Xenopus tropicalis: one gene and its partners. The protein of the gene in region 1 binds, or shares a complex with, the protein of each later gene. Links are inferred from orthologs where the notes say so. Each region holds a gene or a part of one and is shown on either strand. Other genes may lie near its edges. The genes, in order: strn, stk24, stk25 and stk26.

Region 1 (5,671 bases):
AGGCGAACTTCTCTTTATAGCTGCCCTCACCTGGTAGATCTGCTCATTCACCTATATATCTAAACAGGGTCATATGTATAATTTGGGGGGGAAAAAAGCACAAATCCGGTATTTAAAGGAGAAGGAAAGTTAAATACTAAGTAACCTTAATCAGAAAGGTATATGTAACTACAGCCATAAGCACTCACAGAAACGCTGCACTGACTTCTCTGTAAAAAGAAACAGGATTTATTGTCTTTGTTTTCCTGTGCCAGAGTCTGCGCAGCTCTCTCCCTTCTCCTGCTGCCCCCTCCCTCAAGAATGCTAAGAACTCCCTCCCCCTTAGGAATGTGTGATCTGAGCCAATCAGCAGAAAGCTGACTCATAATCTTACAAACTGCGCATGTACACCGGTCTTGGTGCAGGAGCATGGCATTATGGGAACTTTCTTTACAGAGCTCAGTGGTTTTTTTTTCCTATGAGGCTTCTGATCATCTGAATGGGAGAAATATGGGGAGACACAAGGGCACTGTTGAGAGAACTAAAGGTATGCCTACAGGTTGAAAATAACTCTTTAATAGCCTTTCCTTCTCCTTTAAGTGTAATAAAAGTGGTTTCCTGTTATGCACCACTATTGTGACTTTCTGAGCTGAATAGTGTTTTTATTATTTTGCACCATTAGGTATCTCTTAATTTGAGAGTATTTCATCCATTAATGTGCAGGTAATGGAAACTGTTGCTTAAGTCTATCAAAAGAAGCCATTGTTCACCTTTGCCAAGCATCTCCTATGGTGAGAATACCACACCCTTCCAACATAAGGTTTTTTCCCAGCTTAGCAATATTAGGAAAGCAGACATTTTTCCAGAAAGGGGTCTAAGGAAGTATATTAGTAAACAGCATTAGTTGGACTGTTTTTTTGGCAAACTTGTTGCACAAAAATCACAACATGATTGGTACAGGTAGAGCCCAGCAATGTGCTATGACGTTGGTAAACTGACTGATGATTTGCGTTTTCCACCTAAGCTGCCAAGTGGCTTAATTGAGCCTCAGTGTAGTACAAAAAGATATTGGGGAAAGCAACACTTAGTCAAGGTATTTAGTTGACAAGGGCGGGAGCCTCCCCAAATCAGCTGTGTAAATAATGTGACAAAGATACACTAAAGACTAATTGGGCAAGGGGCTTGCCAGAGACCATAAGTTAGTTAGGGAAGGAGTATCACCTTTTTAAGTTGTATTCTACCCATTGGGCCTATTAAGAAAGATTTCCAAGTTTTGCTTTTGTTAGTTATGAAATCTTTTAGCAGAAGTATGTTTACGTTATAGTATCCAGAAATAGGTAGTTTGATCACTACCCCCAAATAGGTAAATTGATTGACTATTGGGGAAGGTTGGATCCACAGGTAGAATAACTTACTTATTTAGCAGCACTTGTAACAGCACCCTTAATTTGAGCAAATGTGGTGCTTAGGCCTAGGAGACTTACCAGGGAAAGTCCTTGATCACCCAAATATACTAAAGTATTGTCTGTGCATAATTGTATATGTTCTCTTGCACGTGAAATTGGGGTGTTGTCTAATTGCTTGTGCAAATGGCTTCATAGCTAGGGCAAAGAGCATTGGGGACAGGGGGCATCCCTGTCATGTGCCCCTTTTAAGTGGAAATTGTTCACTATTGGAGCCATGGACCACTATTGAGGCCTTTTACAGAAGTCAGGACCAAGGTAAAAAAGTTTCAGAGTGCGCCACAGATGAAGGGTAGATGTCTAGTGAAGTCAAGTTCTGAGGACATTTTTCTCCCCAATATGGTTTTATGCAGCTTAGTTACCATTGTAAAATTGGGAAATTGATCATTTTAAATTATTTGCTTTACTTGACACTTTCTGGATATTGCGTTTCCACATAAAAGATCACATTCTTTTAAAAGTAACAAGCGTGTGTTGTCTTTTTTTCAGTGGAAGCATTAACTTTTCCACCCTCATCTGGAAAATCTTTTATCATGGGAGCAGATGAAGCTTTAGAAAATGAGCTTGGACTTGGAGAGTTGGCTGGACTTACAGTTGCCAATGAAGCAGATTCTTTGACATATGATGTAAGTTCTCCTTCAGAGGGAAGAATTATCAAATAATTTTTACATAAACTGATATTTGCTTTTCATTGTTATTTATGTTGTTTAGAAAGCTAAGAATAGATTGCATTATGTCTTTTTATAGCTGAACACTTAATTATTACATTTTATGTACCTATGATGGTTTTTGATCGATCAGTTCAGTTAAACTAAAGAAGCCTCTCAAATAAGCTGTCACACAGTGTCAAGATTACTGAGCAAGTCCAGTTGACTTATAATTGCCACTACTAGATATACTGATGTCTCTTTTTCCTTTCTGTGTTTTTCTCTTGAAAGCTGTCATAGAGGAGCTGTGTGTTGTACAATGTAAAGGGCTAGTTCACCTTTAAATTAACTTTGAGTATGATGTAGTCAGTGATATGAGATATTATGAGATCATTTTTTTATTTAGGTTTTTTTAGCTCTACAAAATGAAATTTCAAAAGCTATCAGGCTGCTACGGTCTAATTTATGCCAGCAACCAGAGATTTTTGTAACGGACTGAAAGATGCAGCAGAGGTTATCAATATAATGATAAGCAATTAAATAAAAAAGCAGCCCTTTGCTGCTGTAGTTACGCCAAAGACCCCAGACACCTAGATAGCATTTTAAAATGCAGGCTGGAAAAAAGCAGAAGAGAAGGCAAACAGTCCACGTAAAAGGATTCTAAGAATAGGACTATTAATAATGTATTTAAAGTTAACTTTAAGGTGAACTACACTTGCAAAAAACAGTGGAAGTAGTTGTTAGAAAGTTATTATAGGAAATGGATTTTATGATCACTATATTTTAGGCTGTGATTCAAAATATTGCCGTATGGTTGGTTTTACCTTTAGGAGGTAGGTGTATTATTTGGTTATGTAGCATTGTTAAAGTTATTTGTATATAATTCCTTTTTACATAAAACTATAAAGATGTGTGAGTTGTCTTTTCTCTCTCAAGATTGCCAACAATAAGGATGCGTTAAGGAAAACATGGAACCCTAAATTCACATTGAGAAGTCACTTTGATGGCATACGTGGCCTCGCCTTCCACCCTTCAGAGCCAGTGCTTATTACAGCATCAGAAGACCACACTTTAAAAATGTGGAATCTCCAAAAGACTGCTCCAGCAAAAAAGTATGTTTGTGCTTAAACTATGCACTGTTTTTGATTTTTATTACCATAGTGTGTCCTAGGCAGTACTGACAATTTCTTTCTTCCATTGCACCTTGTTGGTTGTAGCTCCTCTTCACTTCATGCAGTTTGGGCTGTTAGCCCAAATAAATGGAAAGATGGAATGTGGTTGTCCATGTTTATGACCAGTCCATATAGTATCCAGCCTTTTTGCACAAGGGCTGATTGGTCAGATACTGTGGAGGGTTGACCAGTTTATGGCCATTTATTACACTCAAATAATTTTTGCAAAAAAACTATAAAATAGACAAGTCAGTTACATATATAAATTACACTTTTTCTCTTTTAGGAGTACATCCCTTGATATAGAACCAATTTACACATTCAGGGCGCACAGGTAAGAAACAAGGTTTTCTTTTTTGCTAATGTTTCTATTTAGATCACCGTTTATATTTGTGGTAATGGGTAAAGTTAAAGATTAAGAGAAATTTTTAATAGCTGTGCAGTAAAATATTTAGGCATTGATTAAATTAAATGCATCATACACCAATGACTTTTCAAAGAAGAGACTATATTTGAAATATATGTTTTTTTAGTCCCTTTTATATTAAGGTATTTCCTAACATGGTAAACTGGTGCCTGTTGTATTTATCCGCTTGAACCGCAGTGTAACAAAGGTCCATAATTTATGCACATGACTGCCTTCAAATTGAACATGTTCTAAGATTAATTCAAGTTTGATTTGACTTATTAAATCATATATCAGTGTTTAGTATCTCTCGCTTGTGGCAGACGTGTGATCAGTACACTGCGCCAATTTAATGTGCTTGTGCCCGTGCCATTGATGAGTTGATGCCACATGCATAATGAGCTAGTAGGGAGACTCTCTCATTAAAAGGGTTTTAACCTTCAAATTAACTTTAAGGATGGCAGAGTCATTAATATTCAATATTGATATCCTCAATAGGTGCTCTTTAAGGTAAGGCAGTAAAATATCTAGAATGGCTAGACATTGTACTGGATTAGAACTAGTGTTATTTGACTGCGCCTAAGTATCACCTTGCAAGCAATATTTTCAATTGTCAGAAGTAATTGCTGATAGGTTATTTTTATCTTCTACTCAACGTTGAATTTTGTTTTTTCGTGTTTTTAATTAATTACTCAAATAAGCATCCTATCCTTTCCAGGGGCCCAGTACTTTGTGTAGTAATGAGCAGTAATGGGGAGCAGTGTTACAGTGGAGGAACAGATGGTGTTATCCAGAGCTGGAATACTCCTAACTCCAACGTGGATCCATATGATTCTTATGGTATGTTACAAACTTAGCAGTTTGCAGCAGAGGGACATCAAAACTCATCATATTCATGCACTTTTTCACAATTTTTAAAATCAAATTTTCTGTTTAATGGGTAAAAACAAACTTAAAAAGCACATATGCCCCTTGTTCTTCTCAGTGCTGATGAGATCACAACACAGTGCATTGGCTATTAAAGGAGAAGTAAACACAGCCTTTGCTATAACGACCAGTATATTGCCTTTTCCACTCCCAAACCCCATTGGTTTCTCAGGATTTGTTTATGCCTTTCAGTTCCGACTTTTGAAACAATGTTGCAAATTAAAGAAGTGCACAGATTGTAAAGTGTTAATAAATAACCATATCCAACTGAAATATTGGATATTGTTTAATGTGTATTAGAAATTGTTTAGTGTGCTGCTTTAATAAGTCAGTGTACGATTATTCCATGGTATTTACAAATGAGCTAATGGACAATGGTTGAGGAGTAAAACCAAATTAATTATTTTGAGGTACCGTACTAGCATTATCTTTTAAGGGAAGCGACTTTGTGTGATGCTGAGCAAGTTCATTATGGCATTCAGAATCTTAAAGTGGACCTGTCACCCAGACATAAAAAGCTGTATAATAAAAGTCCTTTTAAAATTAAACATGAAACCCAAATTCATGTTTATATTAACACATCAAAACCCATTATAAAGGCAATTAAAAATCCCAGCTGTCAATCATACATTGCTTGCCCCGCCTCTATGCCTTAGGCATAGAGGCGGGCAGTGCACATCTCACTTTTCCCCTCCCTCCTCATCATCTAATTGTGTAGCCAGTGCATGGGCATAGGCATCTGGTCCCCCATTCTGGCACATAAACAAGATTTTGGCATGATACAAAGCTTGTCTTCATAACAGTGTCCACAAAATGGTGCCTGCCTGCTTGCTTTGATTGAGTAATTCCAAGACTGAAGGAAACAAGATTTGTATTATTTATATAGTGTAAGTAAAGTTTATTTTGCTAAATAATTTGGAGTTATTTCTTAGGGTGACAGGTCCCCTTTAAGGCAAAGCAAGTTTTGAGAGAGAGACAATTTTAAAGTCCCTGTGTCTAGAATAATGCTGTTGAATGTATGAATGTTTGCTTTTTTTTTTTTTCCCCTTAAAAACAGACCCTACTGTTCTGAGAGGA
Region 2 (5,671 bases), on another chromosome or scaffold:
TTTGCGATTGCGTTGTGTTTCTATTGGTGCACTGTACTGAGGGGGTGGAGACAGAGAGGTCAGCAATGACGTTAGCTGTGTACATGTGATCTGAATGTAATTGCTGTCCTGGGGAATGCTCTACAGTAATGTGTGCATACCCAGGGCTTGGGTGTGTGGGTGCCTGTGCCCACAACTTGCTAGCACAGAGATGCAGGTACTTTACAATAGTTTTAACTTCAATTTTTGAAGTTTCTAGATAAAAATACCAGTACATAAAGCAGAAAAAAAAACCTAGAGCACTTTACAGAAAAACCCAACATTACCAATTAATAATTGTTTAGTGGTTGTAGATGGTGATAGACCAACGAAAAAAAATATAAATTACGGACTACAGGCTTTTGGCAAGTCCTTTTAAATTAGAAAATGAAGGTTTGCAATACATGTATTTTCTGTAAAAGAAAAATTAAAAGCTCCTATCCCACTCACCCAAGCCCATTCATATATTTAGCTTGGGTCAGAAGTAAATCATTTTATTTCTGTTCCAGTGACTAAATTACTTGGAGGGTGGGGGCAGCCAAGCTAACAACTCCTCTCTCTTTGGTATGCACATAGCCAACCAATCATGCTTAAATGAAAAGCCTCTTCAACTTCCTGCTGGGAACAGGTTCCTTTTTCTCATCAAAAACCCTTTTTGTGTCTACATAAACTGAACTCTAAGCAACAGGTAACATAGATACAGCAAAGCTGAGAGAATGTTTGGGTTATGTAAACATGGAAATCATTACAAGGCCTACTGAAAAGAAGCATGGACTCCTGGCATGAAAGGTGATAATGCAAGTGCCAAGTCTATGAAAGTGAAGTCAGCTGTAATAACTGGGTATGTGCTGTATTGCCATCGCCTGGAGAAACACTAACACCAGGCAATGCCCAGCCCATATAGGGCTGCAGTTTTCTAGGCATATGTGGTTTGCAATGCTGGCATTCCTGCTTAGTAGGTATAGCCCACTAACTAAGGAATGTTATCAGGGAAAGCAGAAAAAAACGAAATAATGAAAATACAATAATAGTTTTCAACTGTGTTCGCTCTATATATAAACCTGTGGCATCTAGCAGGGGGCACTGCCAGCACATTGTGACTGTTGCGGGTGCTGGATGTTGTAGTTCAGCAGCTGGAGGGTGGCACGCAGGATAGCCCTGACACGGTGTTACTGTCACACTAGCTCACCATTCACACTCACCCACAGTCACAGGATCCTCCCTGCTACAGACACTGCTCCGCCGCTGTCTGCACAGACCAATCAGTGACACGTATAGAATGATGTAACTGCAGGCATTTCTGTACGTATAGGGTTATAATATTCTCATAACTTATCCTAGTGATGAGGCTGTGCCTTACATATTTCAGACATATCTATAAATTAAAAACATTAAAACTCCATTGTGACAGTACCGATCCTCTGTCTTTTAAAGTATATACAAATAATATGTATCGATAAATGTACTGAAGACATATCTAAATGCCACTGCGTGTGTTCTGAAGAAAATAGCAATACTGTACAATGTCATATGTATTCTGACAAAACATTAAACTGGTTTTATCTAACAGATGTCCAAAGGGGCTTCTATATGTAGGTAACAAAACTCACTTGGCGCTTGACTTAAACCATGAACATAAAACATAAGTATGGCTGCCAAACATGAAATCCATACACAAAGCGTGTGTGGCTCCATTCCCCTCTTGCAACTAGGGATGCCCTGGGTCAGTTTGTAGGTTGGCAAACTCTAGTAAATAGTCAACTGTAAAGCTGGGATGTCAGCCCACGTCCCTCCAGCTGCTGTGATTTGCATTACCCAGTATTCATACCCTTCAACTGCTGGGGCATGCTGGGAGCTGACAGCCGCTTGAGGAAGGAAGGCTGAGGCATCTGATGGAGTAATTTATTGTACAAGAATTGCACAGAGCTTTCATTCCATCTCCAGCAGAACTGACTGCTTAAAGCAAGATACCTGAGGTTTCACAATATCTTCATTTGCCTTATCACAGTACTTTGCAGAGTTTTTTGTTTTTACATTTTTATATATTCGTACTATGATTAGAAAAAAAAAAAGGAAAAGAAAATCATAAAAACTATAGCTTTCACCATTTCCCTATGTTTAGTCACTCATCATTCAGGAATGTCCATGTCCTGTGATATCCATGAGCAGAGGCAAGTACGATAGGGATAATAATGCAAGGTCCATTTTTGCCTTAAAAAGGAGGAAAACATTCTTCAGTGCGAGGAAGAGTCCACTCCATTAACGGAATACCTGTAATGCAAGAATAGGAAAGGAGTAACGAAGGGCAGCCAATTATTTTGGTTATTATTTTGGTTGCCAAACGTTTGGTACGCCCAGCGTTTGTAATCACTTGCCCGAGGATGGCTTGGTTGAAGGAACCCAGGGCCGGTGCAGTTTTTGGCAGTCTGGAGCACCAGCCTGGGGTTCCGCCAACCAAGCCATCCTCTTCTTTTGTGAAAGATTTGTCCGAAAACCAACCCAAATCCTAATTTGCATTTGACGATTAGGAAAAGGAAGGGTTAAGGAGAACCGCACACAAAGTGACAGTGAAACATTTTCAACTTCTATGTTTATGTGACAAAAAGTCACATGATTTTTAGGATTCAGATTTGGTTCAGCCAGGAGCATGGATTCTGCCAAATCCTAATCTTGTGGAAAAAGCTGAATTTAGGCCGAATCCTGGATTTAGTACATCCATAGTAAAAAACTAGAATGTGCCACTGCATTATACTCCTCTAAACATAGAAGAAATGTGCTTTAAAAATAAGTGTTGCAAGGCTGATTTATTGAAAAGTTCTCCAAAAACAGTCCCACCCATCTGTTTCACTTCCTACTGCCTCCTTTCCCAGGCTGTGCAAAGGAACCAGAAGCACTTAGCACACTGCATTGTAGGACAGGAACCAATCAGCAGCTAGGTGTAACTGATAAGGACCTGAAACCTGCCATTGTGTGTGTGACTGCAGGGCTGTGATTGGCTATCCCGCTTCTACTGTGCTTCTGGTACACCTTATTTGAAACAAGGAGAGGGCAAATCTACAGGGAGCTCCAATAAAAGGGGCCATTTTTTAAAGATAATGATCATTTTTAGCCCTGAGTGAAATCTGCACCACATATTATTCATTATTGCCTACAAGTTTGGGGGGGGGGGGGGGGGGGGTCACATATACTATATCATTTTAGTATATTTTAGCCTTAGAGCAAGAGACAGAAGCAAAGAAAAAAAAGTTCCAAGCATTCGGCATACCAAATCCAATCTAGGTAGGTCCCACTCTCTCCAAAGGAAACAATTAAGTTAAATTACTGTCTGGGTTATTGTGTGCTCCAAAGGTTTCATTTAAGTATAAAGCTTTGAATTAAATTGTGTGAAATTTGACTCCTTAACCAACTAAATTGTCTTTTCTCTATTACTGTGTGGTGTCCCGGTGGCAAAACAAGTGGTAAATACTAAATTGAAACTATTGCTATGCAGAACCAGGTCACGGTGAAATACACAACACTCACGCACACATTGATATATGTGATCAGCAAGAAACAAATCCATGCAAAATGTTAGTTCTCACCTCTGAAGCCTAATAAGAAGCTGTGATACCATGGAGTCCGAGATACCCGGACAGGCCTCTTCAGCTAAATAAATTGCCTCTCTCAGTTCCTCTATTGAGCCTACGTTCCCGCCACACGCTTGACTCTTCTCCTTCAGCTGAAAGTAGAAAAAAATGCAAAAGTCTAAGGCTAATGCCACACTGGGATGATTCTCGGTCTGTGGGAAAGTCTGAGAATTAGCCCCTAAGCTGGCATCAGCCTTCTTCTTTGGCTGCACCCAGAACAAATGTGCGAGTCTGGGCACATGCGGCATTTCTTTACCAATATCTCCTGCATGTGCCTGCACCCTGGGCAACACAATGGCTCCAGGTGAAGGCAAAGAAGGCAGCTGATACCAGCGAAGGGTGCCGATTCTTGGTCTGCATTTTTCAACAAGCCGAGAATCAGCCCCATGTGGCATCAGTCTTACCCTTAGGGGCAGCTGCTCATTAAAACAAGAATGAGCCAAAGAATAGACAAAATGTACCTACCTCTGCAAATAAAGGAGACATAATTGTAGATAAGCACTGAGACAATGGCCGTTTGGGAATGTCTTTAACCTTAAATGTAATGTAAAAAAAAATAAATCAGTATTCGTCAGTAAGCAGACATTTTAGAAGAATGATTATTTTAATTTAAAAGAGACAAAATTCATATTTCTTAATATACAGCATATATACATACAAGCAAAGAGAAGTGAGGACGGTGAGTACTGCACATAACCCTTTCCATTCTTGTTCATTTAAAGAACATGACTCTTACTGCCATCAATACAATTAATGCTATAATAATAAATGAAAAAGACAGGGATTATGCTGCCTTGACTACTCCTAAAAGCATCGGAGGGAGACATTGTTAAGCACTTACTTTATTATAAGATTTAAAGTAATAGGCAGTGTATGTTTTTCCCATATCAAGCAAGGCTGGGGAGTGTAGCAAGCACTTACCATTATAAGTCATTGGTTCATATTAATATAAACTGTAGTATAATGGCTGGACAATAGGAACTTTTCTTGTGACTCAGACTTTATGCCTTACCTCTTCTGGCTGTGCAGGAATGGGCTCCAAGTTCTTCAAGTCTCTCTTTCTTCTTGTGAAGTTCCAATAATCCTTCTCGCTGCCAGCAGCTTGATCTACTTCTTCCCTTTACAGTGGGCAAAGGCAGACATATATACAAGGTTTATTTCTTATTACTGAACCTGCACTCTATGCCTGATCAATTTTCCCCTGTATTACTATAATTATTTCAATTTTTTCATAGAACACACACAGTTTTAGAAAAGGTGATTAGCTTGCAGCTGCATTTGTAATTCCTACTGGCATACCCAACCAGTCTCTCTACCAGTTTCTCTTATCCCCAGGATTTGACACTCAGTCTGCACTGCTGTCAGGGACAACTGAAACTGCTTGCAGAAGCCCCCAGAGCAGCAAATGCTGACCCAAGATAACCACTACTTTGCAAGCAGCAAAAAACATATGTATTAACACAAAATGATCAGCTCTGGAGTATTTTTAAGCCATCAACTTATTTCATTTCATTATTACTGAACAGTAGGATGGGGTCAAAGGAGGAATTCATTGAGTGTTAATGAGCTGAGGCACCAGAGTTAATGCTGAAGTAAATTTGGAAATAATCATTGGGGATGGAGTCACTTCCAAAGGCAACTACACTGTACATGTGGTAACTCCATTTTGTTTCTATTTCCAATTCTTGCTTTATAAATCCCACATTCTAAATGAAAACACCATCAGAAGGAACACAAAAGGGCTTATTTTGAGCACAAGCCATATTTTTGCATGTACAGTTCAATGTGAATCAGACACACTTGCGCTGAGAATCTTTTGGGTTCAGATGTCAACATTGGTGGGGCTCTGCTTTAAAACAATGGCTGTGCCCTGATTCTTTAGGTGCAAGTCCACTGCATCAAATGACACAGGCCACTATGGGAACACTGCGGTTACTGCACCCTTGAAGGGGACAGCAGCTTCAGGGTTTCCTACATCAATGTACGCAATTCAGGAAGCGACACAGAGTTAGTGCCGCTGAACACAG
Region 3 (6,465 bases), about 76 Mb from region 1:
GTAAAACTGGGGTGATTGCTTCAGGAACACTACTATAGTTTATATAAATAAGCTGCTGTGTAGCCATGGGGGCAGCCATTCAAGGAAAAAAGGAGAAAAGGCACAGGTTACATAGCAGATAACAGATAAGACACCATTGTATTCTATAGGGTTTATCTGTTAGCTGCTATATAACCTGTGCCTTTTCTTCTTTTTAATGGCTGCCCCCATGGTTACACAGCAGGGTTTATATAAACTTTACTAATGTTTATGAAGCAAACACAAAACAAAACTTTTACCAGTGCAGGGCAGCAGTACATTATAGTTTAATTTCTTTGAAATATATAAATTTTTTGGTGTTACTGTTCCTTTAGGGCTCTGGTACACGGGGAGATTAGACGCCCGCGGCAAAACTCCCTGCTCGCGGGCGACTAATCTCCCCGAGTTGCCTTCCCCCTGCCATCCCACCGGCGAACATGTAAGTCGCCGGCGGGATGGCAGACGCGGCGGCGCGATTCTGCGCAAATCGCCGAAAAAGACTCGTGAGGCTTTTTCTGCGATTTCCCGAAATCGCCCCGCCGCGTCTGCCATCCCGCCGGCGACTTACATGTTCGCCGGTGGGATGGCAGGGGGAAGGCAACTCGGGGAGATTAGTCGCCCGCGAGCAGGGAGTTTTGCCGCGGGCGACTAATCTCCCCGTGTACCAGAGCCCTTAAGCAAACTAATATCCTGTTTGAGAAACAGCCTCATTTAGGGTCAAGTTTAAGTACTTACATATTATTTTAGAGGCTTATATTATAGGGTATATCATGCTATTTGTGTTATTGCAGAAGCTGTCCATCCAGAGGATGATTTCTTAGGGCTCAAAGGATATTGATTTCTAAATTGATGTTTAGCTAATGCCACATAGGGGCTTATTCTCAGTGTGCGGATAAACACACCATTTCAGCCTGTGATAAACCAACTTAACCAATCACTGATGGCGTTGGTGGGAACTGTCTTTTGTATTATATATAATATATATTATTTGGTCAGTATGCACTAATGGCAAAAATTGGCATTTAAATTAGCATTAACTATTCTATCCTGAGTGTCATAAACAGAGTAAAGTTGTAAAACTCTTAAAGGGGACCTGTCAGCCACACATAAAAATAATAATTAAAAAACATGAAAACCAAAATTATTTTTTTAATTAAATCATCCATATCTGTTATAAATGAATTTAAAAATCTGAGCTGTCAATCCTATATTGCCTATGCCTAAGGCATAGCGGCCGGTCAGGCACTATAGGATTGACAGCTCAGATTTTTAATTACAGTTTCTTTCCATTTAGCACAGGCAGCATTGAAGCATTTGTAAGAAGGTGGAAAAATGATGCATTTGAGTGCATTTGAATGGAACATATGTTTGGTTAATAAGTGTGATAGTGTGTTAAATGGTAATACAAAAATGTTATGTGTTAAGTTGGCCACCAGGTGGCAGCAGAGTAATATAGGTTTAATAAAAAATAGGGTAAGTGTACTTCATACCACCAGCCACCAGGGGTCAGTCTAGGCAGAAAAGTATAAAGTATAAAAAAGGGGTTGTCACCTGGGTCCAGTTGTCTTGACTGGAGGGCGTGGCAGAGATAACATCATCTGTAGGAGGGTAAGTCAGACCTGGCACCAGTAGGGGAGGTTTAGCTTAAAGTAAGAGTGAGCACTAGGTGAACCAGACAGACAGGTAAGTGAGCATGGGCAGCCCAATGCCCCAACATCATGGGGTGGGGAAGAGGCAGGCCTTGGGGTCTGCGATTGGCCAGTTGCCTCGTCAATGTTACTGGGCCCTGCCTGGTTTTCCTAATTTGAGAAACCAAGCGGTAGGTTCAAACAGGTGGCAACCCTACTGGTGGGACAGTCGGACACTGTATGATTGTGTGCATGAATCCTCTGGTGTCCCGAATGAAAAATAAATGTGTCACTTTAGTTTAGACATAGTGATATTCAATCAAATAACTGCCTGTCTCTCCTACACATTGGTTTAATAGAATCATTAAATGTATAAAATGTAATTACAGTGCTACTGTGCTGTTCTCTATATACATGCATGCCTCTGATAAAGGCGCTGGCCCCACCAGTAGGAGAAGTCTGGGAAAGTAGGCGTGGCCAAAAAATTCACTCCCTCTCACTTAAATGTTGAACAGTAGGCAATGAAATGGAATGATAGTTATGGCCTCATTTTATTTTAGTGGCACATGAGGTGACATCCCCCCCACAGTGTTTTCCAGCCATGCAATGTCCAGCTCAATGTCCAGATGTGCACAATAATGTTCTCCATTGCCACTTCAGTGACTTGAATGGTTAAACACCTGGATCCAGCAGGTGCACTTGTGGCTCAGGAGAAACATTCACTGCCACAGTTAATAGAAATAATTGCATGGCCATTGAGCACATTTTAGGCTTTTTCAATTGCAGGGGTTCAGAATGAATTCAGGTGCTGGTTACAGGGGTTAGATGATTGGGCTGTTACTGACAGTGACTGACAGGGCTGCTCTTAGTGACAAGCTTGGCACAGGCGGCAGTGAGTGGCCAATTACCAGCGATGGCAAAAACAATCTCTGTTTTTAAATAGTGCAATAGCACAGTCTCTGTACTAGCACTTCTGCCCCATATTGACCGGCTCTAAAGTAAAAAAAAAACAAGCCCAGAGTGGGTAAGGGGGGGGGGGGGCAACAGCCCCCAAAAAGCACCTGGTGACTGGCCAGGGCAAAGGAGGGTGATGAAAAAATGACATGTTTGTGGATCTGTGTCACAGATATGCCTTTATATAATAGTGCCCAGTCAAAGAAGTCACCGCAACTGTATCACAATTCTCCTCAGAGATTGTTAATAAAGCTGTCTTGTAATAGGCAGAACGACCACTTGTGCAAAATATAGTGCTGTCCCTTTAAATCCGAGAGCGACAGCTGCTGGTCACATGTTCTGTACTTCCCGTTCCTATGCTGTGTATGTAGAGCAGCAGGGCTCCATCTTGCAGGCTGCTGTTTGAAGTTGCTGTATTAACACTTAGTCAATGCTTTTTCTTTACAGTATTGTTTGTGTGTGCGCCGGTGCCCTGCCTCCTCCTCACCCACATGCTCCAGGGAGTCTCCTGTGTCAGTAAGCAGTGCTAACGAGGGACAAGACATGGTGTCAGCAGCTGCAGTGCTAGCAGGGATCTACAAGCAAAGTACCACAGAACTGTAAGTAGTTCAGAAGGAACACACTCTGTGTGAGCAGTTTAACCCTTCCAATCCCTTACCATTCCCTGTCAGCCTTAGTGGAAACTGCTGCTATATCTGACTGGCACTTGGAAATATCCACAGGAAATAGCAAGTTTGTTGCATACTATGGGGGACTACACTAAGGGCTATATAATAGTAACAATATGGTAAATAAGCAGGGCTGTATCTGTAGTACAGGTTTTGGAAGTCTTCTCCCAGGGCTGGAAATAGGGGTAATGATACCCCTAGTGCAGGACCTTGTTACCCTACTGTTTACCTAGCCCCCCCACAGGCAATGCATACTCATACTCTTTGGCAATTGGTGCATGCTGATAACCCAGAAATGTGCCCCCCCCCCCCCCCCCCCACCAGCTGCTCCTCTAGATTTGACCACAATCTAGGTGACTGGCATGGGTTGCCTTCGAGGGCCTATATAAATATGGCCATCCAGAATTACCCACAATGTTTGAACTACTAGCACAAAATGTGGGCAGCATGGTGGTGCAGTGGACATAGAATTGCTGCCTGTTCTCCCTGTGTTTGCATGGGTTTCCTCCTGGTACCCCAGTTTCCCACAACTCAAAAACATACAGGTAGGTTAACTGTGTTCTGATAAAGCTGACTGTAGTGTGTGTGAATGGCATGTGTCTGTAGATTTGCAGCTCCATAAGAAGCGCCTAAAACATTTGTTGTTATCCTTTTAAAAAACACCTCAACCTACAGAGGTAACTCCAGTCATGTATAGAAATAATCTTATCCTGCATTAATCTGTCCCGTGTGGCAGGAGCCTATTACGCAAAGACCAAATAAAAGTGAAGAAAAGGTTTGAATGGTTACAAATAATAATAACCCCCTGCAGCAGTTTCCTTATATTCTACCTCTGTACTTCAAATTGTACATCTCTGTAATCCCATACCACATGTTACTTTTCTAACAACATTTTACACATCCTTCAAATCACTTCCCCCACAATTATTTTAATTATGAACCCCTGTTTATTTGGAGGTTCGTAATTAAAATATTTTGGGCATCATTTTCGATCAGATGCATTACTACTAGTTTCTTGGCATAGCACAAGACTGCTCTGATGAGAGAACGAGTTCTGTTCAGGGGCAATACATCTGCAACCAGCCCTAACAGGCAGATCTCAGGTGAGTGTAAACATGGGAATGCCATATTCTCAACTCAAGTACCAGATCACCTCCCCTCAAAAACTCTGTTTCGAGGGACAGTTTTACAACAAGTGTAGAAAGGATGCCTCTGGCTGCTGGCATCTCGGAAGCTTGGTCTCAGAGAAATTAATGAAAACATAACCAAAACTAGGGAAGGCTGTACCTATGAGTACTTGATAAAGCCTTGATGTCAGTTTCTTATTCTCCAGGTTGTGTAGGGGGTCAGTTTTACTGGGGGGAAGGTGGGGGTTAACATACTGTGCCCTGAATGCATGGTAAATTTGGAGATACCTACAGAAATGCAAATCTGGCTTCTTGCACTTTGTTTTGAGCTGCAGTAATGTGGGGTATGTGGGGAATTTTTAGAACATCCCTAAGAAACCTAAGGCCCAAGAGCAGCCAGTAGGAGCAGTCCTGAAGGGCTCTAGGGTGGGGTAGGTTACAGTTCATTCAAAGTGGTAGAAAGGGGGAGGGTACAAGAGGTGTGCGTCCAGTAAGTGTACATGCTAACCTCAAAGGGGCAGAGACTGTTGAGGGACAGTCATTGTAGTTGGCTATCCTTCTATATGGCAAACTTTTTACTGCCTCGGGAACCCAAATTTAATCCCAGGAGCAAGAGGCTGGGGTCCACCTCATCTATATGGAACCAACCATGTATATGATGAATTTGGCTGGCTAGGAAATAGTAGCCTAAATAAGGGAGAGCAAGGCCTCCTTTGTCAGTTGGAGACATAAGAGAGGTCCAGGCCATGTGTGGGAACTTATTAGCCCATAGAAATGGGAGCACAGTAGAATTGACATACCTGAATAGCTTCTCAGGGATCCATATGGGGGAATTTTGTCGTTTTTATAACAATATAGGTAAGTAAATCATCTTATATAAGTTGATTCTAAACTGCAAAGAAAAAGGCAGCTTAGACAAGGTAGTTGACAACCTGACCAATATCGTCTTCAGTAAATTAGAGTGTATTGGAGCATATGATGCCAAGGTATTTTTTATTACATTAAGTGGGGATCAAATAGGAAAAGTAGTAAATCATCAGCACAGAGGGCTGGGGGCACCCTTGGAAGTTACCCTTGCCCCCTTGGGATTGTCTATTAAGTTTTATTTCTTATAACCATAGTTAGGCCAATGTTTATCTATACACAGGGTCAGGGGGTCATCCTTTGAATTTACCCTTGCCCCCTTGGGATTGTCTATTAAGTTTTATTTCTTATAACCATAGTTAGGCCAGTGTTCATCTATCCACAGTCTCCATATTTTATCTAAGTTCTCAATAAAGCCTCTCTTTATAAAGGTCATAAAGGGATGGTATCCAATATGCACAATAGAAGGGGATGTGGTAGATTTCTGCTCTATATATCCCAAAGCTTTAGTGTGCTTGTGGTTCATCTAGTATAAATTGCTAATCAGGCTGTCCCATGGGTTGGCATCCTTAGGACCTTTCAGTAGATTATCCATTAGTTGTTATCCTTATTGTAAACTCTCTGCATTTCCAGAGCTCTAGGATGGATCCTGAGCGTCTTTTCACCAAGCTGGAGCGCATTGGGAAGGGCTCCTTTGGAGAGGTGTATAAGGGCATAGAGAATCGCAGTAAAGAAGTTGTAGCCATCAAAATTATTGACCTGGAAGAGGCAGAGGATGAAATTGAGGACATACAACAGGAAATTACAGTGCTGAGCCAGTGTGACAGTCCTTATATCACTCGCTATTATGGTTCCTACCTGAAGGTAACTGCATTTGCTTTTAAATAAAGGTTGTGATTTATAGATCTCTATATGGTGATAAACACTTTTAAACACAATACATGTGCATGTCTGCAGTTATTATCTTCTTAGCGTTACCTGTTTTGCAATATCAGCTCTAGAATGTCTGCCCGCATCTGACAGATTCTCCTCTATCCTCAGGGATCAAAGCTATGGATAATAATGGAGTATTTGGGAGGAGGCTCTGCTCTGGACCTGGTAAGGAAATATGTCTTAACTGTCTTTTGCATTATCCAGGTTCCATCCAGCAACTTGTCAGTTGGTCTTCATATTTTCTTTTTTATAGTTTTTTTTTTAATTATTTGC
Region 4 (6,388 bases), on another chromosome or scaffold:
CAAACCAATAAAAATTAATAGGTGAAATCTGATTGGTTGTTGGTAGCTCCGCCCACTTTTTAAAACTAAAACTGCAGTCCACTAGTGACCAACTGTGAAAAGTTTGGGGACCCTGGTGTTCTGTGAGAATGGCAGCAGGTTGAATTTCCTATTGAAAGTCAATAAGTAAACTCTGATTGGCTGTTGGTGGCTTCTCCCACTTTATCTTACCTTGAACCACAGTTACCTGGTACCTAACCCTGCAAAGTTTGGGGACCCTGGGGTTATTACTGTGAGAATGGCAGCAGGTTGGATTTCCACCAAGTCAATAGGTAAAATCAGATTGGCTGTTCACAGCTCCACCCACTTTTGGGCATCCAACAATCATCCTATTTTCATTCAGGCTGACCCCATGACTATGTGATTCAAGTTTGGGGAGTGTAGCCTCAAAGCTGTAAGATTGGCAGCAGTTTCAATTTCCCCATTTGATTGGCTGTTGAAATTTGATTGGCTGTTGTTGGCCCCTCCCACTTTGGATCATCCAACAAATGTTGCTGTTTCATTCAGGGTGACCCCATGATTATGTTATTCAAGTTTGGGGGGTATAGCTTCAAAGCTATAAGTGCGGCAGCAGTTTGAAAATCTTCCCTGTCAAAGTCAATGGAAAAATTGGAGCGGCGCCACATAAAGACGGGGGGCGGGATTGCTTAGAAAAGCACAAGCAACCTGCTCCGCTATAGGGCGCAGATGTGTAGCGAGTTTGGGTGTTGTACCCCTAAAACTGTAGGAGGAGTAGCGTTTAGAAAATGGGGGGGGCGCTAAGAATAACAAGAAGAAGCGGAAGAATAAGCCAAAGTCGAAGAACAGTATGTTGGGGTATTCAACACAACACAACTAAACACAGATGCTGGACATTTGTCAACTACAACATACTTCTGTATACAGAGAGACACACAAAAAAACCTTTCATGCTTCAATGGTACTATTATGTAGTGGCTCATTCCTCATAACCCTTTTCTCTACTATCTCTATAATCTTTGTTAGTTGGTATTTAGTGTGTACATCCAGACTGATATCATGGGTAGGGGTCCCACCACCATCACACATGAAGAGGCTATTCAAGTAAAGCAGTAGTGTAAAATATGCAGGAAGGAAAAGCAAATGTGAACAGAATGTAGCAAAATGTTTGTGCCAGTCTTTACAGCAGTAACATGCCACTAGGGGAATTTGTTGACATACTGAATATATTGTGGCCCAAAAATTAGATTGATCTTCTAGTATATTTTTAGCTGGTAAACAGATAACTGTATATTAGCTGCAATCATAAGAAAACAGAGGGAGCTTCTAGGGCTGATTACTCAGGTATGGTAATGCTTTCTGCAGAATAAATATAGTGTTCTAGGTGGCACTAATGTGGTGAATCTGTTGGCAGTAAAATGCCAAAATGACTTTCCTTCTCCTTTAAGCCTCTACAGAACATGCTCCACAAGCTTTACTTAAGTCTTCTTATTCAATAACTGTAAAAGTGTGATACCTAGAGTAATTCTGCACTTTTTAGAACAGTTATTGTAAAAAGTGGAGTCTTCTATAACACATTCGCGCCACCTTTCTTCATAATGAGAAAGTAAAACTTTGTAATATTAGGAGGCTGTAGCCTACAGAACACTTTCTCACAAGCACGGCTATTTATCCTACTTTGAGAAGAGCCAAGGTCACCTATTAAGTAGGATAGTTTAGTCCTAGTATAGGAGCAGAGCCCCATTGAGGCATTGAGGGTTCTGGAAGAATCAGTTCAATACCAAATTAAAGCAGATTCAGTCAGACAGAGATATTGTAAGAGTCACCCTGCATGACTGACATAACAAAATGGAAAGTCTGCGACGGATTTGCCTCGTTATGCAAAGCTTCCCAGCCCTGCCCAGGTAGCATGACATCTTCCTAGTCACCTTTTCACATACTAGCGCTCAATGATCGCTTGGGGCGGGGCCGCCTGACATCACCACAACCCCACGTGACCGGCTTCAGTCAGACTGCGGCTCCACCCTGCGTGGCTTCAGCTGCAGCCTTCAGTCCTCTCCCAATATGGCGCCCCGAGCTTGCTGAGCTTCTACCCAGGCTTTCAGTACTTGGACCTTCACCGAGAAATGGTCACAGTGTCAGGCTGCAGACGGATAGCCACGGATAGCCAGAGCAGTGTTTGAGCAGCAGCGGGCAGCAGCAATCCCCGCTCGCACCCCACCGCCAAGTCGGAGTAGGAGGCCTTGACGCCGCCCGCCATGGCTCACTCCCCGGTAGCCGTGCAAGTCCCAGGGATGCAGGTGAGCTGCCACGCAGAGCATACTAGAGCTGCGAATGAGATTTCTCTGTGGCTTTATTAGCCGGCAAACCTCTTGCCCGTTTCTATGGGGCAAAGTCTTTCCCGCAGGATCTTACGATACCTAAGTCGTACCTAAGCAGGATCTTTAGGAAAGCCTGGGCACTGCCAGTTCTCAAGGGGTTGGCAATACCTGTAGTTATAGCCTAGGCACAAGTAGAAGGGCTAGGGCTGGGAGAATCTGAACTTGAAGCTTAGGCACAGTCGGGGGCTGTGTGTATAACATTGGCACTGTATATCCGGAACTGAGAGGCTGAGTGCCAGTACCATAAAGAATCGAACCTTAGACCAGGGTAGGTTCTGTGTCTATAGTATGGGCCGGCTTGGCTTTTCTACATCCTGACACATACAAAGAGGTAATGTCTGCTACCTTGGATTGCTGTAGTTATTGGCCAGCCGAGTAAAGGTTCCCACACCGTCCCAGAAATTCTGCACTTTACTAATACATGGAACTCGCCTGCTACGTCATTAGATAAGATCAGGGATGTCGCCTGTGTGACCCTTGCGACTAACATTGACCGCTCAACCCCTGTGTCAGATTCAGGCAAATCTGCTGAATAGATTGTGTTTTGCACCTGTATATGGAACTGACATTTCAAAGAGACGATAGAAGAACCCCAAGCCAAGCACAGACGTCATCAGTTCACTCCTGTTTGCATGGGTCTAGACACTGTCTGAAACGGGCATACACTGAGAGCTTATACACAATACTGTAAATATTACTGTACAGTAACACACCTATGCTAAACCAGGGCTGTTATATGCTGCCCGCAAGTTGCCCAGCATCATTTATGAAATGTGTTTGCTTTGAGTGCTAGTTCTTACCCGCGTTTAAAAGTACAGGTATGGGATCCCTTATCCGGAAACCCATTATTCAGAAAGCTTCAAATTACAGAAAGCACGTCTCCCATAGACTCCATTTTAATCAAATAATGCAGAATTTTAGAACTGATTTCCTTTTTTTCTGTAGTAATAAAATAGTACCTTGTAATTGATTCCAACTAAGAAATAAATAATCCTTATTGGATGCAAAACAATCCTATTGAGTTTAATGTTTTATTGACTTTTTAGTAGACTTAAGGTATGGAGATCCAAATTACGGAAAGACCCCTTATCCAGAATACCCTTGGTCTGAGCATTCTGGATAACGGGTCCTATACCTGTATCATATCCATGGCTTGGCCAGAATGCATTTATCAATATGGTCAGGGTGTCTTCCTCATTCTGTAATGTAAGACATCTAAGGCACTTGACTAAATACTATGGGTATGCCAGTATTGCTTGTATGCAATAAATGCTATATTTATTAATGTATACTGTACTAACAAAAAAGAGAAAAGCCCAATCTATGTGGCACACAGGTCATCCCACCAAACACTCCAAAATCTATACCCCTGAGTGTAAATAAACCAGTTATACAGTCACTCAGTGGGCTTCTTGGTGCTTGTGGTGTGGCACTTTAGCAGTACGAAATGTATGACCCTAAGTTGTATTGTCATCTTTTATCATTGTCAGTATTCTAAATTTAATATTTTGCAGTGATGAGCTTGAACTGATCCATTATCAAGTTCTCAACCCCTTTTACTGAGGATAAACATGTTACTCATAGTACCCACTTCATACATCAATGTTGGAATTGCTGTTAGGTTTACAGGTGTGTTCAAGCAATGTTCTTATATGCATTTTACATTACTTCCAAGAACAATATTGTAATGAAGACAATTTAAGTACAGAATCTTGAGTTAGGTGCCATGTTTGTATATTTGGAATTAAAATATACGCTTTAAAAAAGCATGGGCATCAAGAAGCTTTTGGCCCTTAACCAAAGTTTAAAGTGAGGTTAATAGTTTACATAAACTTAATGATCTTTAGTAATATTATTCTTTATATAGCATAAACATGTTGTGCATTCTTTTGAGATCCTGTTTATCATTTTAATTTGTCCTTGCACAAGTGGGGCTTACTCTACCACATGCATATATTTTGGGAAGTTTAGGGGCCCAATATATCTCTGTTGTTTTAATCTCTGTTTTATTTATAACTAATTCACAATAACGTGAAGGCCTTTCTGTGTTAAGTATGTTAAGAGTCCTGCTGGTTCAAATTATGTAGGTACATTGGGGTTTGGGTTGTGTATGGCAACTTGCTCAGCTTCTTTCAAAATAGCTTCTCTCCAGCCTTCTGTATTTTCTGATGATGCAACCTTTGATTTTTTGATTACATGGCTTCTGTGTTTTAGAGTGGGCAGCAGGTAGCAGACAGGGTTGTGGGTTTGGTAGCTTGTCAGAGTGGGGAAAAATGCAGGTCATGTGTGGATCTATCTGAATAGACCCATTCAGGTATCTAATGTATGTGCACTTGTTAACTTTCTTTATACTTGACCTGTTCTCGAGACCTGTGCCTATAATTAAATCAGAATACTTGTTAGTTATTTATTGTCCCACAATTCCATGTTGAAGTTTTCTACCGTTTCATTCCTCAACAACAAGTGAAACTTGTGAAACTTTATAAAATATGTTGGCATTTATACAGATATATAGGTGTGCCTGATTGCTCCTTGGTTAGTGGTGTTAGGGGAATGTACACAATGATAAATCAGGCTTGTGTATAACACTGAGAATAAAATACAAAACACTGAAAATATATTTATTTTCATTGATATTGATATCTTCATATATACATGAATAAATATGGATTTTCTTAGTGACTAATTCATTAAAAATAACTAGCACTGTCTGCATAATATTTTCCAGCTACAACAACTTTGTGTAGTCTTGGTTTCACTGCCCTGGTAACACACTTTCTTAATACCACATTAAAGGGGTGGTTCACCTTCAGGTCAACTTTTAGTATGTTATAGTGTGGCCTATTCTTAGCAAGTTTTTTAATTGAGCCTTATATTTTATCTTTTTATAGTTTTTGAATTAGCCTTTTTCTTCTGAATCTTTCCAGCTTTTAAATGGGGTCACTGACTTCCGCAGCCAAAAACTATTGCTCTTTGAGGCTACAGCTTTATTGTTATTGTTACTTTTCATTACTTATCTTTCTATTTAAGCCCTTCGCTATTCATAATTGTCTTTTTTAAGCCACTGCCTGGTTGCCAGGTTAAATTGGACCATAGCAACCAGATAGATGTTGAATTTCCAAACTGGAGAGTTGCTGAAATAATTCAAGAACCACAAATAATAAGAAATGAATTCCAATTGCAAATTGTCTCAGAATAGCATTTTCTACATCATACTAACAGTTTATTTGAAGTGGAACAACCTCTTTAAGCACATGAACAAGAAAGACAACACAATGTAACAAATGGAGGAATGGCAAAAATGTAAAGTGGTAGATTGCCTTTAGCTTTTACTATGGAGCAGATAGTGATATTTCAAGACAATTTGTAGTTAGTCTTTTTTTTATGATTTTGTGATTTCTGAATTATGTAGCTTTGTGTTCAGTATATTTCAAGTCTGGAATTTTTTTATTGCTCTCTGGTTGCTAGCGATGAATCTGGGAGGGCCTGAAACCAAAAACTAAGTTTCTGCACAAATATAGTGGATTTCAGCCAGAAAGTTTGCTTTTACTGTTCAAAACCTATCCTCTGTGTGCAGTGACAGACAGGCATTCATGCCAGTTAAAGCAGCACACTTAGAACAGCGGGCGGTTTTGGCCCTTAGTGACCATATGTAAATAGTAGGTCTGCCATTTTGTTACAAATTAATAGCTGCTTATAATAGTTTGGAAAATTGGGTTATTTGTGGGACTGTTGTAGGTAGTTATAATGTTTCATCTGTATGCTTTTACAAGTATGGCTGCTTTCTGTTTTGATTTATGTAGCATTAACAAATGGCAACACTACTCAAAAACCTACTTAACTAATGATTAAAAAATAAAAAGCACTACTTAAGTAGTACTTAATAAGTATTGATTGAAAGTCAGCATACACAATGGAAAGTGTCTGGAAGTACATATGCTATGCAGCATTATCCTTTTTACTCCTCACCTGAAGGGCCCTGCAATTTAATGGGTTGTTAATCTTCCATT

What was found.
Region 2: strn (region 1) and stk24 share a complex: the UniProt entries of both Homo sapiens proteins name them as parts of the core of STRIPAK complex. The link is inferred for Xenopus tropicalis from reciprocal best matches to the Homo sapiens genes STRN and STK24.
Region 3: strn (region 1) and stk25 share a complex: the UniProt entries of both Homo sapiens proteins name them as parts of the core of STRIPAK complex. The link is inferred for Xenopus tropicalis from reciprocal best matches to the Homo sapiens genes STRN and STK25.
Region 4: strn (region 1) and stk26 share a complex: the UniProt entries of both Homo sapiens proteins name them as parts of the core of STRIPAK complex. The link is inferred for Xenopus tropicalis from reciprocal best matches to the Homo sapiens genes STRN and STK26.

The regions. Positions count from the first base shown.
Region 1 is NC_030681.2:50,048,174-50,053,844, forward strand, and holds part of strn (striatin), read left to right. Parts: intron 1-1,931; coding exon 1,932-2,068; intron 2,069-3,025; coding exon 3,026-3,201; intron 3,202-3,547; coding exon 3,548-3,595; intron 3,596-4,385; coding exon 4,386-4,507; intron 4,508-5,651; coding exon 5,652-5,671. UniProt on the Homo sapiens protein: Calmodulin-binding scaffolding protein which is the center of the striatin-interacting phosphatase and kinase (STRIPAK) complexes.
Region 2 is NC_030678.2:121,399,549-121,405,219, reverse strand, and holds the end of stk24 (serine/threonine-protein kinase 24), read right to left. Parts: intron 4,763-5,671; coding exon 4,657-4,762; intron 4,179-4,656; coding exon 4,110-4,178; intron 3,737-4,109; coding exon 3,600-3,736; intron 2,290-3,599; coding exon 2,253-2,289; 3' UTR 1,316-2,252; downstream 1-1,315. UniProt on the Homo sapiens protein: Serine/threonine-protein kinase that acts on both serine and threonine residues and promotes apoptosis in response to stress stimuli and caspase activation.
Region 3 is NC_030681.2:125,795,471-125,801,935, forward strand, and holds the start of stk25 (serine/threonine-protein kinase 25), read left to right. Parts: upstream 1-2,972; 5' UTR 2,973-3,199; intron 3,200-5,892; 5' UTR 5,893-5,901; coding exon 5,902-6,123; intron 6,124-6,300; coding exon 6,301-6,357; intron 6,358-6,465. UniProt on the Homo sapiens protein: Oxidant stress-activated serine/threonine kinase that may play a role in the response to environmental stress.
Region 4 is NC_030684.2:67,410,685-67,417,072, forward strand, and holds the start of stk26 (serine/threonine-protein kinase 26), read left to right. Parts: upstream 1-2,064; 5' UTR 2,065-2,255; coding exon 2,256-2,297; intron 2,298-6,388. UniProt on the Homo sapiens protein: Serine/threonine-protein kinase that acts as a mediator of cell growth. Modulates apoptosis. In association with STK24 negatively regulates Golgi reorientation in polarized cell migration upon RHO activation.